Notamacropus eugenii: one gene and its partner. The protein of the gene in region 1 interacts with the protein of each later gene in a biochemical or structural test. Links are inferred from orthologs where the notes say so. Each region holds a gene or a part of one and is shown on either strand. Other genes may lie near its edges.

Region 1 (7,705 bases):
TACACCATGGCCCAGAGAAGGGATCAGTGGGGAGGCAGGTGAGCTTGCTCAGGACCTTGGGAAGTAGCTAGAGTAGACAGAGGTGGAACTTGAAAAGGGTGTCTGTGAAGGGTGAAGACAGAATTCTATCTGTAAAGCTATATAAATATTACCAAAGCAGACTCTGAGCTGAAAGGGCCTCAGAGGTCATCCAGCCTTTACTTAAGCTAGGCCTGTGCCCATGGACTGCAGGCTGTGCAGCAGGCCTGACTTAAGTTGCTGTCTTGGGAGTAGGTTCCCTCTCATTAGAGGCTATTAATTCAATTTAAACAAGACACTTGTTAAGTACCCACCCGACCTAAGGCACTGTGCTGTTCATTTGGGAGATGAAGGCAAAAATGAAACAATTCCTGCTTTTGAGGCGTTTACATTCTGGTGGGGGTAAATATGTACCAGGTATTTGGGGAGGAAAGGGACACTAAGCTAAGGAGTCCTAGAGCAGGTATGGAGGAGGTGGATTCTAAATACTAGTACAGCATGTGAAAGGAAACAGAATGAGTCTAGAGACAAGGTAGGAAGCCAGTCTGGCTGCATATGAGTAACATGAAATAAAGTCTGAAAAGGCAGGGAGGAGCTAGGCCATGAAGAATTGGGGGAGGGGGAGGGAGGGAGAATTAACATAACTAGTCTTCAAGTCCAAGCTAGGTGACCGTTTGTCTCAAAATGCTTCTTGGATCGCATATGCTATGGAGGGGATTCCTGGTCAAGCATGGGTGTTGGACTTGATAATACCTTCCAATCTGAATTCTGAGAAACACAAATTCCATGTACAACATCCTTGACATTTAGTTACCTAGTCTCTGCTTACATACTCCCAGGTGACAGAGAACTCACTACTTTACAGTGTGTGGTGAAGAACACAACTTGAAATGAGAAGAATCCAAATTTCAGGTCTTTGATTGTTAAAACAGCTGGGTGGCTTTAAGTGGTCACTTACCTCCTAGAACATTACTTTTTCTTATCTGTGAAATGGGGATAATCCTTATTTGTACTACCTATCTCACAGTGATATATCCTGAGGAAGTACCCAATTCCTGGTCAGCCGGCTTTCTGATCAGTTCTTACCATGACTGAGCCTATAACTCACCTGCTAATAATTGACACACTGCCCCAGCCTCTCCACTCTGAAGTCACACAAAACATGTTTAATCTTTCTGCTCTGTGACAAACAGTAAGTCTGTTTTTCTCTAGGCAAAATATCCTCAGCTCTCCAGTATAAGTGATCAATTGATGTGGTTCCTTGAGAAGGTGGAACCTACTTTAGATCTGTTTTTTGAGCATTCTATAGTAGATGGGTAATCTAGAAACATTTCTACAAAGTGTTACTGAAGTATAACCTATGATGTTTATAGACTCTCAGGGCCTGAGCTGAGACTTCAGCTCCTGAAAATAAGACATCCAGCCTCCCCTGAAATCCTCCAGGGATAGAAGTCCTTCTTAGGACCTGGGCTCAGGAGCAAGTTTTCCCATACATTTAGTGGAGAGTCATCCTCTGTACCTTCCACCCACTTCTGGTTTTGCCTTAGGGGCGAAGCCCAAGACCACAGCCCTTCAAATATTTGAAGTCTCCTCCAGCTGAACCTTCCTCAGGAAAGGGGTCTGGGCCTTACTGGCAGTAGAAGGAACCTCTTGAGCTTATCCAGTTCAAATTTGTCATTGGACAGTCAGGAAAGGCTGGGGCTGGATAAGAATACCTAGGGTGGTCTACAGAAATGGGGGGCTGCGGGTACAAGATATGTGTTGCGGGTACAAGTTATGTGTGACAGGTCTAGAAAGGTCTCTAGAAATCTTCTAGGAGCAGGTGATTGACTTGAGTCTCTTCATTAATCACCTGGCTGCATTATCCTGGAACTTCTCCCAAATCAAATGACCTCTCCACCTTGCCTGGGGCACCTCTAGGACTGAGTATGGGGCCAAGATCTTCATTTAAGGAGGGGGCTCCTGATGGCTCACTTGGCTGCACTTCTCAGGGCTTCTCCACCATGTCCCCCCACCGGGCATCCCTCCACCCATTTTCAGCTTCCCTTTGCGTGTGGTCTTCCCTCATAAGATTATAAACTCCTGGAGGCAGGGACCCTCTTTCTTGTTCTATTTGTATACTCAGGGCCTGGCATAGCACTTGGCACACAGTAGGTACTTAATAAATGTTTATGTAACTACTGACTATTAAGGTAGCCTTTGAGGAGTCTAAGAAGGTGGAGGAAAAGTTGTGAGTGATGACATCCGGGGGCATTTCAAGCGCTTCTGAATCAGGCAGCATAGAAGTGAAGTGGGTTTAGAGGGGGTGCAGGATGACACTGGTGGTGTTGGGGGGATTTCTGGGGGTCTTGTGCTGACTTTCAGGGAGCTTCTGGGGTGTCTTGCTGACGGCATGTGGGGTTGAGGCGGGTCTCTGCAGGAATGAGACGGGATGGCTGCTGAGCTCAGGGCAAGCGGGGAGCCTTTGGGGGGAACTCTGGGGAGGAGTCTGGGGGCACCTCCAGGAAGCTCAGATGAATTGGAGAAGCTTCCCACCCGGGCACTCTGGAGAGGTAGGGGAGCTTCTGGTGGCGTAACAGGGGGCTCTGCTTCTGGGGGCGTGAGGGTGGTGGTGGGCACTCTGGGGGGCCCCTAAGGACCCAGGGGCGCTGTGGCTGGCATGTGACCGTCGGGGGGCACCCCGCCGAGGCAGGGGGCTTCTGGGGAGGCTCTGGCTAGGCCGGGGGCACAGAGTGGGATGGGGTTTCCAGGAGGCCCCGGGGCCGGGAAGGCGCCGCAGGCGGAGGCTGGAGGCCGGGCCGAGCCGGGGTCTGGGGGCGGCTCCGAGCCCCGGGGACGTCTGCAGGGCCCAGGGCGCCCGGGGGAGCCGCGGCCTCCCTCCAACGCGGGGGGCCGGGTTCCAGCCCCTGCCCGGCCCAGGGAAGCGAGCGGCGGGCTCCAGACTCACCGTGACTTGCGTTACTTGCGGCCTTCCCTTCAGCCGGTGCAGCTGCCCAAGGCGCCGCCGACGCCGCTCCGGAACCCCCCACCCCCAGCACCGCCCGCCTTCCCTCCCGGCTGCCCTCCGAGCCGGGTGGGGAAGGGCGGGGCACCGAGCCGCTAGGACCAACCGGCACATCGGAGCAGGAGATGGGCGGGCAGACCGACCAATGGCAGAGGGGAAGGAGGGATGCTCTGGAACTCGGCCCCCCAAGGAGGCGGGGGCCGTTCAAATGGACAAGCCGCACATCCAGTCACAGGCGAGCACCGGGCCGAGAAACACCGGCACAGGCCAATCAGCAGCAAGTTTGCCGTCTTTGCCACTTCCGACCCGGCTTCCAGTGCGTGCTCCGTTGAAATGAGCCCCCTCGATCGCCGGGCAGTTCTCGCTCGTATCGGCTCAGCCGAGAGAGCTGGAGAGTTGGGTCAGAGCCCCGCCCTCCACTCGTGATAGTGCCCAGCATGGACCTTTGCATGGATCCGCACGTGAACTTGAGCCGAAGCTACACATTCTCGACCCGTCCCCTCCCCAGGCGTCCTTCGTGTCGCATTCAGGAGTTTTACCTGGGAAATGATCCCCGGGGCCCCAGGCCTTTTCCTTCCTACCAAACCCCAGCAGAGATCCTCGAGGTCCCCGAGGTCACGCACTCCAGCGCGAGGGCTCAAGTGTGCTGGTTTCCAGGACAAACCCTGCCCCGAGTCTGGCTGCTTGCCCTACGCACTCCCCATTCATGCTCCCTCTTGGCTCTCTGCCTAGAGTGGCAGCGTGGAGTAGTGGAAACTGTGTGGGGGTATGGGTGTGTGTGTGAGCTGGACTTGGGTTTGAATCTGGATTGTGACACTTGGCACTTGTAGGACTCGGGGAACACATTACTTAGCCTCTTAGCCTCTGCATCTGCGGAATGGGTATAAAAAGACTTGCACCAGGGTTGTGAAATCAGTATATAAATGAGTTATTACACTGTTTCCAAGTAGTACTGATTTTTCAAAAGGCACAGCTCTGTTCTCCCATCCTCCCTGATCAAGCCCAATTAAAGTTGATGATCTTACCCTTACTTTGGATCCCCGTCCTTACACAATCTGCGTATCACACGGTCTTCCTTTGGCTTCTGTGAACTTATTAATGTGGATATTTCCCATAACAGTGCAGATCATAGCCCACCAATGCAATCATGCCCCCTCATCGAGACTCTTGCCTCTCTCCTACTCCCAAGGTCATCTGGGATCAACCACTTTCTGGATACAATGAAGCTTGTTTTCTTGTTGATTTCTCTGCCCCAGCTCCTCTTCCATTTGTAATAGACAAATTTAGCATAGTGCCTGGCACAGAGTAATTAAGAGATTTTTTGATCACATTGTTTCACAGAATATGAAGGTGGGAGGAGTTTCGAGATATTCCATCAAGCCTCTTATTTTGAATGAAAGCATACATAAAAAATAAAGGGGGAAAAAGGAACCAAGAACCAGTGACGAATGGAATCTATTCATGTGAAGCAGGATAAGAATTGTATCTCATCTTTGGTCACCCAGAAAGGCTGTGACTCAGCTGCAGACAGGACCACAGGGTCTCTACTCTTTCTTTTGACAGCCCATCTTTTTTTCTGGGGGTTCAGGGAGGCAATGGAAAGAGGAATGGATTTGGAGTTAAAGGTCAGTTAAAGACCTGAAATTCAACTTTCATCCCTGTGATCCTGGGCAAGTGATTTCCCCTCTCAAAGAGACTGTCTTCATTTAAAAACAACAGCAACGTTTCTTTAGCACCTGTGCTGGGCCCTGGAGGTACAAATATTAAAAACTGACAAGAATGAATGAAGCATCGGTAAACACTGTGACACGTGCAGTGGTTACCAAGGTCACACAGGTTAAACTGTATCGCGGCCTTTCCTTTTTGTATTCCCAGTGCTTCGCATACAGTAGCTTAACACAAGTTCCTTCACTGGAACTGAATGAACGGTCCTAGGGAGCAGGGATGGAGAGCTCCCCCAGCGTAGAGGGACAAGGCGAGCTCTTCTTTCCCCGGCCCTAAGTGCTCAGGGGGCCCGTTTCCGCACGGCCGACAAAGGCCAGAGCACAACATGGCGGCCCCCTAGGACTGGCTGAAAGATCCGGGCCGGCGCCAGCACTGCCACTGACTCAGAGCCTGAGTGACAGGAAGACCGGACATCCGTGGGGCAGAGGAGGTCAGGCCTCCAGCGGGACGGCTGCCCGCCTCCCGTATCCTCCTTTCCCGGGCGCTCCCTTCTTCCGCTTGGCGACGTTCCAGCCTTCTCTACCTAGCGGGGAGCCCCTCCAAAAGCCCCCGCCTCGCTTCGTGGGAGCAGTGGGTTTCGCGTTCCCTTCTCTAGGTCCGCTCCCCTCCCTGCCCCCGGCTCTGCTAGGCAGCGGGACCCGCCCCTCTGTACCCCTCTCCCTGCTGGCCCCGCCCCCTCGGTACCCCTCTCCCCGCTGGCCCCGCCCCTCGGTAACCTCTCCCCGCTGGCCCCTCCCCCTCTGTACGCCTCTCCCCGCCGGCCCCTCCCCCTCTGTACCCCTTTCCCCGCTGGCCCCGCCCCTCTGTACCCCTCTCCCTGCTGGCCCCGCCCCCTCTGTATCCCTCTCCCCGTTGGCCCCGCCCCCTCCATACCCTCTCCCCTCTGGCCCCGCCCCCTCTATATCCCTCTCCCCGCTGGCCCCGCCCCCGTTGCCCCTGTAGCTCTCCTCCAGCCGCTAGGTTAGCCCCGCCCACTCCTCGTGCTCTTCCCGGCCCCTCCACGTGCTCCATTAGCCCCGCCCCGCAGCCCACCCTCGCCTTCTCCATGGCTGCGGCCCAGAGCCCGGGCGAGATCAACATCCAGGCGGGCGAGGGTCCCCCGGCAGGTGCCGGGGAGAAGGCCGGGAATGGCTGCCCGTGCGGGGCCGCGCCGGGGCCGGGGCCGCGGCGGTCGTGGCGCCACAAGTGCGCCTCGTACGTGCTGGCGCTGCGGCCCTGGAGCTTCAGCGCCTCGCTGACCCCCGTGGCGCTGGGCAGCGCGCTGGCCTACCGCTCCCAGGGCGCGCTGCAGCCGGGCCTGCTGCTGGGCAGCGCCGTGGCCGTGCTGGCCGTGCACGGGGCCGGCAACCTGGTCAACACCTACTACGACTTCTCCAAGGGCATCGATCACAAGAAGAGCGACGACCGCACGCTGGTGGACCGCATCCTGGAGCCGCAGGACGTGGTGCGCTTCGGCGTCTTCCTCTACACGCTGGGCTGCGTGTGCGCCGCCTGCCTCTACTGCCTGTCGGCGCTCAAGCTCGAGCACCTGGCGCTCATCTTCTTTGGGGGCCTGTCCAGCTCCTTCCTCTACACCGGAGGTGAGACCCTGGCCGGCCTGGTGTTCCCCAGGGGGTCTGAGAGGCCAGGTCTGGCTGTGCTCCCCAGGGTGCTCTGGAGCAGGCCTGGCTGTGCTCCCCAGGGGGTCTGGGCCTGGCTGTGCTCCCCAGGGTGCTCTGGAGCAGGCCTGGCTGTGCTCCCCAGGAGGTTCGGGGTTGCCTTGGCCCTACTCAGCTCCCTAGAAATCACCGGGAATCTAGCTTACCCGTGCTCCCTAGAGAGGGCTTGATATCTCAGACCAGTCACTGCCCATCCCCAGGCTGGCCTTGGCACCCATTCCTATGTGCTGGGGACCTTGGGTCAGTCATTTCTTTAACACAGTCCAGAGGTTTCCTTTGTGTAAAGTGAGGAGCTTGGATCAGAGTATGCCTAAGCCTCCTGACAGCAGTTAGTGATTTGGAGGGGTAGCTGCCACCTTCCACACCACTGGGACCATTTTCTTTTCTCTTATGTGGACATCCCTTAAAGGGACTCCTCCTGCTCACTAGGGTTCTTAATGTTGTTTCCTAACCTCCAGGTCAGTTTAGAAAGTCATCCAACCACCATTCTAGGAGTCTGACTCTGGCCCCAGAAGCTGTTCTCCCTTTGGTCATCATTTCTAGGGATTGTTGTTTTAATGAGGGGAACTGGCTTTGATTTTCAGTTCAGTTCAGCAGTTATGTATGTGCCTATTATGGGCCATGCTCTGGCGATGGAGAGACAAAAGTGAAACGCTCCCCATCTGAGGCTTCTTCAAATGCCCAGAAGCAAGCAGGTGACAATGGAGTTTGAGGAATAGCCAGAGGGTCACTTAGGTTGGAATGGAAGGATATGTGTTGTGGGGTGGTGGGACAGCCAGCTTAAGTTATGTGAAATCACTCTGGAAAGTCTGCTTGTTCATAGGGGACCTTAAATCCTAAGCAGTTTACTAAGGCCTTAGGGGAGCTGGCCTTTCTGTGCCTTAGGAAGATGATTTTGGCAGCTCTAGAGAACAGATTAGATAGAAGCAGAGGGGTCCATTAGGAGAATGTTGTGATTGTCCAGGATGAGGCCCTGAAGTAGGGAGTGACCTTTTGAGTGGGGGAGGGGGCTTCCAGAGATGTTTGGGTGGGGTGGAGAAGGAAGGAACTGGAGATTCTCCATTTGAAGATGGTCAAGATGGCACACCAACTGGTCTCCACACCAGTCTGCAGTGCAGGAACTGGGGCTGTTTTAGCTTCCAGGAGACAAGGCTTAGGAAAGGGTTAGGATGACCATCTTCAAGTCTTCTGGAGAGAGCTTGGATTTAACTTTGGTCTGTCCTTCAGAAGAACTTCTGGCAGTAGGCAGAATAACTTGAAGGGTGGATGAGCTGCCTTGGGGAGGAGTGAGATGTCTGTA
Region 2 (7,259 bases), on another chromosome or scaffold:
AACATCCAGCTCTCATATTCCTTATATTCTTTATCCTCCTTTAAACTCAAGTGTCTTTGAAGTTATGTCTTTATTTCCCAAGTCCTTCATGCTCTAGTCCTATTCAAAATTACCTTATATTTACTAGTTTAGGCACATGTTGTATTCTCCCTGTAGAATAGAGACCCTGATGGAAAGGATATTTTGATCTTGTCTTTGAATTCCAAGCTATAGCAGAGCACACAGTAGGGCTTGACAAATGTTGGGTAATTAAATTACCTACTTTACGTCTTCCCCCAGACCTAGCATAGAGTTCTGCAGAAAAGCAAGGTCTTAATAAATATGCGATGAATTGAATTTCTGCTTTGTGGGTCTCAGCTGTTCCAGTTATAAAATGTGGGGAGGTGAAGGGAGAGAAAGGAAGGAAAGGGGAAAGGAGGGGAGAGGAGGGGAAGGAAGGAGAGAGGAAGAAAAGAGAGGGTGAGGAGGGGAACTTAATGGTCTCCAAGGTACCTTTCTAATACTTAACATTCTGTGAGTTGATGCAGGTGAGGAATCTGAAATGGACCTGAACACACTCCAGGGAACAGAAAATGGGGACAAACAGTAATGGAGAAAAGGTTATAAGCCTGGATACAAACATGGGGGTTAGATACAAGTAAAAGATAGGAAACTGGATGGACACATACACAGGGGATGGATGGCAGATATATTTGTTGGGAGGCAGTACCTAAAACAGAGAGGAAGAAGAGGACAAGGATTAGGGTTATGAGGGATCATAGGATCATAGATCGAGCTGGAAGAGATGTTAAAGGCCACCTAATACAATGCCCTCATTTTATGGAGGAGGACACTGAGACCTAGAGTAGTATTACCCATTATCAAAAACTAGATTTGAACCCTCCTGATTCTAGGACTGACACTCTACTACACCAGAGGTGTCAAACACATGGCAGCAGCCTGAAACACTTCCAAATGCAATCCAAACCAGATTAAAGTGTAACTGGGAAATATTTAACAAAATAAAAATAAACTAAAGGAGAGACAATATTACATTTTAAAACTAAGTCAACAAGTGGCTCCTACAGAGCCTTACAAACAGATTAATAGCCCCTGCTTCTATTTGCTTTGACACCACTCCCCTCCACTATGTGTCCAGCCTAACTGCATTCTAGGGTCAATTCTTACAGAACCTCCAATCCTTCCACATATTTTGGGAAGTCAAGAACACCTGGCCTTAGAAACAAGATGTAAAGGCTGCAGTGAGTGAAATGGTGGGGAAGGGGGGTAAAAGAGAGGAAGGAAATGGGAGGGTGGAGTCACTAACCACACTGCCTTCCCCTTACCTTCACAGGGGAAGAAACCTCAGGGCCCTTCTCAAATTAAGTGCCTCTCCTTAGGGCAGAGAGACCTTGAGGGGCTGAGGGCCTCACCTGCCAATGATGTGAGCATCACCAGTCTCCACTGTTAGCTGGGAGTTGATCGCTTCAAAACTGGAGTTTTCTAAGAGCTTCATCTTCTGCAGGGGCCAGGGACAGGGAAGTCAAGAGCCTTGGTTTAGGGCAGCAAAGAAGTGCCTGTTGGGAACACGGGGAATGTCACTGTGGCTCTGAGTTGTTTAGTTTGAGAGAGGGGTAGGGAAGGTCATTGTTAAAATTTCACAACCACCTCCTCCTACCATGGCAAGGCCTCAGGTCCCAGAAAAAAAACGGATCTTGTGTGTCTTATCTCCAATCCCAGCCAGGCCTGGGTATCTCCCCAGTCTTTCACTTTCCCTTCCCCATACACACAAGCTGCCTGCCTTGTAAGTGGAGAAACTGTAAACAAGCAGAGACCTGGCCCTGGCCCAGAGCTAGTGGAGAGAACAGCAGGCAGGGGGACCAAGTGCCAACCTGAGGCAAACATACCTCCTTTCCCACATCTAAACCCTAAGACACCAGAACTCCAGTCCCTCCCCTGCTGGAGGGCTCTGGTATCAGGGAGGGAAAGAGATCCCCTTACCCAAGAGGAAAGAGGAGATGTAGGGCTCAGGTCCAGTTTAGGGTGTCTCCTTCTCTCCCAAGCAATGACCTGAGGTTTCACCATGATTTCCAAGCACTTACAAACCCCTCTGACAGTCACTCTTCCCTCCCCTTAGTGTAAATATATGTGTGTGTGTGTGTGTGTATATAAAATACATGTATGTATATATGTATACATATACATATATATGTAAAAGTCAGTATACATGTATATTTGTGTGTGTATATGTGTGTGTGTGTGTATAAATGTTAGCGTACATATGTATGTGTGTGAATGTGTGTGTGGATAGGTCTTATCTATCGCCCCAGGGGCTGCTCAGCCTGGAGAGGACGGGGGAGCGGGCAGTGTAGGAAGCTGTCCAGGAACCTCTGGAGGCTCAGCAGAAGGGCCCCCGGGGAGGAGAGAGGAAGGGAAATCCAAAGCCAAACCCGAGGGAGTCGGTCACCAACCAATCCAAGACGCCTCCATTCCCTCCCTCCCTCCACCCCCAATGAACAAGGCCGAGTCTCCTTTACCTGGATTGGTATGCCAGGTTGCTTAAAGCACTTAGAGATCTCCACAGAAGGAAGGGGCGGCTCCATACACTAGCACCTAATGGAATCTGAGCCTCCCCAGAGTCCGCTCCCAGCTCACCCCTCCCAGAACCCAGGTCAAACCCCGCCCCCCAGGAACTACAACTCCCAGGAGGCAGTGCGGCGCTGGAAGGCGAAAAGGGAGGGTGCGGGGACTGCTGGGAGCTGTAGTCTAAGAGACAGACACCAAGGCGTCGGCGACACCAACCTGGCTGGGGGCGTCCGTCTGCGGGGCACCAGGAAATCCAGGGGTCCGAGAGGCTCCTCAGTCCCTGGGGGCTACGACGCTGCGGCCTCCGTGCGGGCCGCGCTGTATCCGAGGAAAACTTCGCAGCGACAGCCTTCTCCTCTGGGTCCCGCCCGCCTGCGCGGGCGACCTCCGCGACATGGCCCCACCGCCGACCTGGCTCCGGCTGCCTTCAGGGCCCGACTACGGCAACACAAGTAGAGACAGACACACAGAGGAAGCCGCCTCCGCCTCCCTCACCCCGAGAACAACAAGCGCCCGCTAGGCCCGGCCCCGCCCCCACTACGGATTCCGCCTTGATGATTGGGCTCTTCTTCCCCGCCCTGGGCTAACCAACCTGTTCCCATTGGTCTAGGTGTCCTCCGCTCATCACGTCCTTCATAGCTATTGGCTACCATTTCCGCTCGTCATTTTTTACAGCCTATTCGCCCGCCCCAATGATTGGTCTAGTGTGTAGGGGAGCTCCCATATTGGTGTAGTTCCCCTCTAGCGTCTTCAGACCCCGCCTTATTTCTCATTGGTGAAGCCGCTTGCCATTCTTGTGTCCCCTGTTCCGCCTCCCTCCCCCTCCTTCTCTGTGTGCTTTAAGTACAGACTCCTCTCAGGGGATTGGGAGGGACTGGAAAGAGGCGGGGACGGGGAGGGGTGAAGTGGATCGCGCCTGCGGGTTGGGACCTCGGAGACAAAGAATACGCGCGGGGGAGGGGGTGGGGACAGAACTCCCATTGGCTGCCGCTGATGTTAGACTCTCCAGCTTCTCTCGTACGCTGACTTTCAGAAAGCTCTCTTGAAGTCGGCCCCCTGGAGCTGGGAGCTCGTGTCCTGCAACCTCATCCCTCCCAGTGCCACCCTGTGACCTCCACCTCCATGTGGAGGTCATTCAGACCTCTCATCTCCTGCCCCCAAACCCCAACCCTGAATCATCCCCATCATTGATCGTTCCTATTTCTCCGCTGCTGAACTGAGCTGGAGGAAGTTCCTCGCCTGTAAAAATGACGGGCTTGGACCACATGGCCTCTAAGGTGCCTTCTCCTTCTAAACGTATTGCCCTGTGATTGTACTGTGTCACCCAAACTGACGTCCTCTGCAGATTTGTTAGCTGATCTCCACTCGAGCCTCTGCAGCTGCAAGTTAATCCATCTTTGCGCTCTTCCCCAATGGATTCTCCATCACGCTCCTCGCAGCAGCTGTTCCAAAACTTTCCTCTGAAGTGTCCCACACACGTCTCTCTTCCGTCTGTCTGCAAATAACCTTGCCGCAGACTTTACTAAAGATTTGGTGGATTTGATTACCATCTCTGTGCTGATTATTCTCAAATCTACCTTTTCTGACAGTCTCTCTTCTGATCTCCAATCTCACTTCTCCACCGGCCTTTCAGACGTATTGAACTGGCTGTCCAGTAGACATCTTAAACTCAGCATGTTCAAAATGGAACTCATTATCTTTCTTCCTAACCACTCCACTCCTCCTTCCCCCTTCCTCAGTACTGCTGTGGAGGGCAACACCATCCTCCCAGTCCCTCAGGCTCACAACCTTGCAGTCATCCTGGATTCCTCACTTTCTCTCAAGCCCCATATTCTGTCAATTTCACCTTTGCAACATCTGTCTCCTCTGATACAGCCACCACCGTGGTACAAGCCCTTGTCACCTCCACTGTTCAGTTTTGTCTGACTCTTCATGACCACATTTGGAGTGTTCTTGGGAAAGGTACTAGAGTGGTTTGCCATTTCCTTCTCCAGTTCATTTTACAGATGAAGAAACTGAGGCAAGCAGGGTTAAGTGACTTGCCCAGGCTCACATGGCTACTAAGTGTCTGAGCCCAGATTTGAACTCATGAAGATGAATCTTCCTAACTCCAGGACTGACCCTCTATCCACAACACCACTTAGCTGCCCCCATCACTTCAAGCCTGGATTATTTCAATAGCCTGCTGGTGGGTAGGCCTGCCTACCCCAATCTATCGTCCACTCCACCACTAAAGTGATTTCCTAAAGCACAGTTCTGACCTTGTCTCCCCTTTCTATTTAACAATCTCCAGGGCTCTCTGTTGCCTCCAGAATCAAACACAAAGTGCTCTATTTGGTGTTCAAATTCCTCATAACCTCGTCTTTGCCTACCTTTCCAGTCTTCGTACTCCCGGAAATATACTGTTCAGCCCAGTGAAACTGGCCTCCTGTCTGTTCTACAAACAAAACACTCCATCTGTTGATGCCAAACATTTTTTCTGGCTGTCCCTTATGCCTGGAACATTCTCTCTCCTCTCTGACTACCAACTTCCTTTAAGGCTCAGCTAAAATCTCAACTTCTACTAGAAGTCTTTCCCACCCCTCTTAATTCTAATGCCTTCCCTCTGTTAATTTTTTAAAATTTGTCCTGTATATAGATTGGTTTACATACATTTTTTTGTATGTTCTCTCTTGAGGGCAGGGACTTTCTTTTGCCTCTTTTTGTAACCCCAGTGCTCAGTAAATGTTTGTTGTTGTTTGTCTTTTTTTTGTGTCCTCCCTTTTGTGTGAATCAGGTTTAAGTGAGGCAGAGTTGCACAAAGTCATCAGCCTCACTCTCTCTTCCAAAATCATAGAAATCCAGTTGCAAGACAAAAGCCAAGAAGACTGGGATGGCCCAGGAGGAAGTGGATGACCTTGGCATCTTTGACGTCCAACCAAGCTCCAAGTATTCCACAGCAATTACTTCAGCTGCCTTCACGGATATTGGAATAAATTGTTATCATTCACTTATTCTGCCCCACAGAAGTCTTCATATGCCTAGGGTACAAATTTACTGAGGGGTTTGAGGCCTGTTGGTCACCCTCTGCCAGATGGTTTTACCAGGATGTAGTCATTGTGCATTCTATACCTTCTTGGAGCTACAGGTGAGAGTTGAATGCCAGGTGGACACCAAAGGTGGATGAGCAGCCCTGAAAAGGGCTCAGCAAGCCCTCACACCAGAGGTGCTAATTCTTCTTGATTGACTGATTGACTAAGAAAATAGAAATTTGCAGTGAGTTCTTTCCCTCTCCTTCTCTACATTGCAAAACCCCTTATCATCTTCCCGCATTCTCCCCTCCTTTACTCCAATTCTGATTCTAAGGTAGTCTTTCTTCTCACTGAAGCCCAAGAGTCCAAAAACCTAGATCTAAGTCCCTAACTTGCCACTAGTTGGTTTTGTGACCTTGAGCAAGTCACCATCTCTTTCTTGGCCTCAGTTTCTCCATCTGCAAAATGAGTGTGTTCTGTTCCATTCTGGTGAGAGCATTCTGCAGGATCATCCTTATATTTAGATATATGGTCCTGTCCTGAATTCAGAAATTACAAGCAACTACCTATTGCATAATAAAGAAAATTCAAACCCCTTAACCTCTGCTAACTCCTGTTATCTATTTTTGATTTATCATTATTTTTCCCTGGGGTATAGTGTTATTACTGCTAATGAAGATGATAATGATTCTGAGAAAGATAAACTGGAGAGGGGCGGGGCCAAGATGGCAGAGTAGAAAGACACACATATGCTAGCTCTCCCCCCACAGCCTATAAAATACCTGTAAAGAAAGACTCTCAACAAATTCTAGAGCAGCGGAAGTCACAGAAGAACAGAATGGAGGAGATTTCCAGCCCAGGGTGACCAGGGAAATGTCAGTTGAACAGGATGTGGAGTGGAGCCCAGCCCAACCTTCAGGGGCAAAATCTCCACTTGCAGTAGCAGCGGTTGGCAGATCCCTCAACCCACAGGTGCCAAAGGTTAGTGATGGGCTTTTTTCAGCTGTCCAAGAAGGGAGAAGGGCCTTTCCATAGCTCTGGCCTCAGGATGCAGCCTCAGAGGCCGCATCCAGGCAGGTGACTGCACTTTCCACAGTAGCCCCTACGGTAGCCCAAATCCATCGTTGGATGGTAAAACCCCTGGGGGCACTGAGCAGCTGATTCTTACTGCAGCCCTGTGTAGAGGCCCTGGGGCAGCTGATCTTTATCTCACACTGAATGGCAGCCCTGCCCCCGCAGCTTATCTGAATCTCAGCCCCCAGTGCTGGCTTGGCAGAACTGGAGGCCAGATGGTTGTGAAGAGGAAACCCTGCTAAGTTTCTGGGCACAAAAATCTATCCCTACTCCCAAACCAGTGTGCCCGCTTGATTGTGCCACCTTGGAGGAACTGAGATCTTACAGATCCTCAGAGTATACCCTTGACAAAGGACCCAAAAGTCAAGTGACTGGTTGGGAAAATGCCTAAAAAAGGGGAAAAAATAAGACTATAGAAGGTTACTTTTTTGGTGAACAGATATCTCCTCTCATCCTTTCAGATGAGGAAGAACAGTGCTTACTATCAGGGAAAGACATAAAAGTCAAAGCTTCTGTATCCCAAACATCTAAAATAAATATTCAATGGGCTCAGGCCATGGAAGAACTCAAAAAGAATTTTGAAAATCAATTAAGAGAGGTGGAGGAAAA

What was found. The genes of interacting proteins can lie anywhere in the genome.
Region 2: of the proteins of MTOR (region 1) and MAF1, one has a biochemical effect on the other in vitro, tested with the Homo sapiens proteins (2 studies listed by BioGRID and IntAct). The link is inferred for Notamacropus eugenii from reciprocal best matches to the Homo sapiens genes MTOR and MAF1.

The regions. Positions count from the first base shown.
Region 1 is NC_092876.1:50,533,709-50,541,413, forward strand, and holds the start of MTOR (serine/threonine-protein kinase mTOR), read right to left. Parts: upstream 3,069-7,705; 5' UTR 2,966-3,068; intron 1-2,965. Other genes in the region: UBIAD1 (ubiA prenyltransferase domain-containing protein 1), read left to right, coding at 5,793-6,327. UniProt on the Homo sapiens protein: Serine/threonine protein kinase which is a central regulator of cellular metabolism, growth and survival in response to hormones, growth factors, nutrients, energy and stress signals.
Region 2 is NC_092875.1:86,027,677-86,034,935, reverse strand, and holds the start of MAF1 (repressor of RNA polymerase III transcription MAF1 homolog), read right to left. Parts: upstream 3,102-7,259; 5' UTR 2,782-3,101; intron 1,557-2,781; 5' UTR 1,496-1,556; coding exon 1,413-1,495; intron 710-1,412; exon of another isoform or gene 669-709; intron 1-668. UniProt on the Homo sapiens protein: Plays a role in the repression of RNA polymerase III-mediated transcription in response to changing nutritional, environmental and cellular stress conditions to balance the production of highly abundant tRNAs, 5S rRNA, and other small non-coding RNAs with cell growth and maintenance.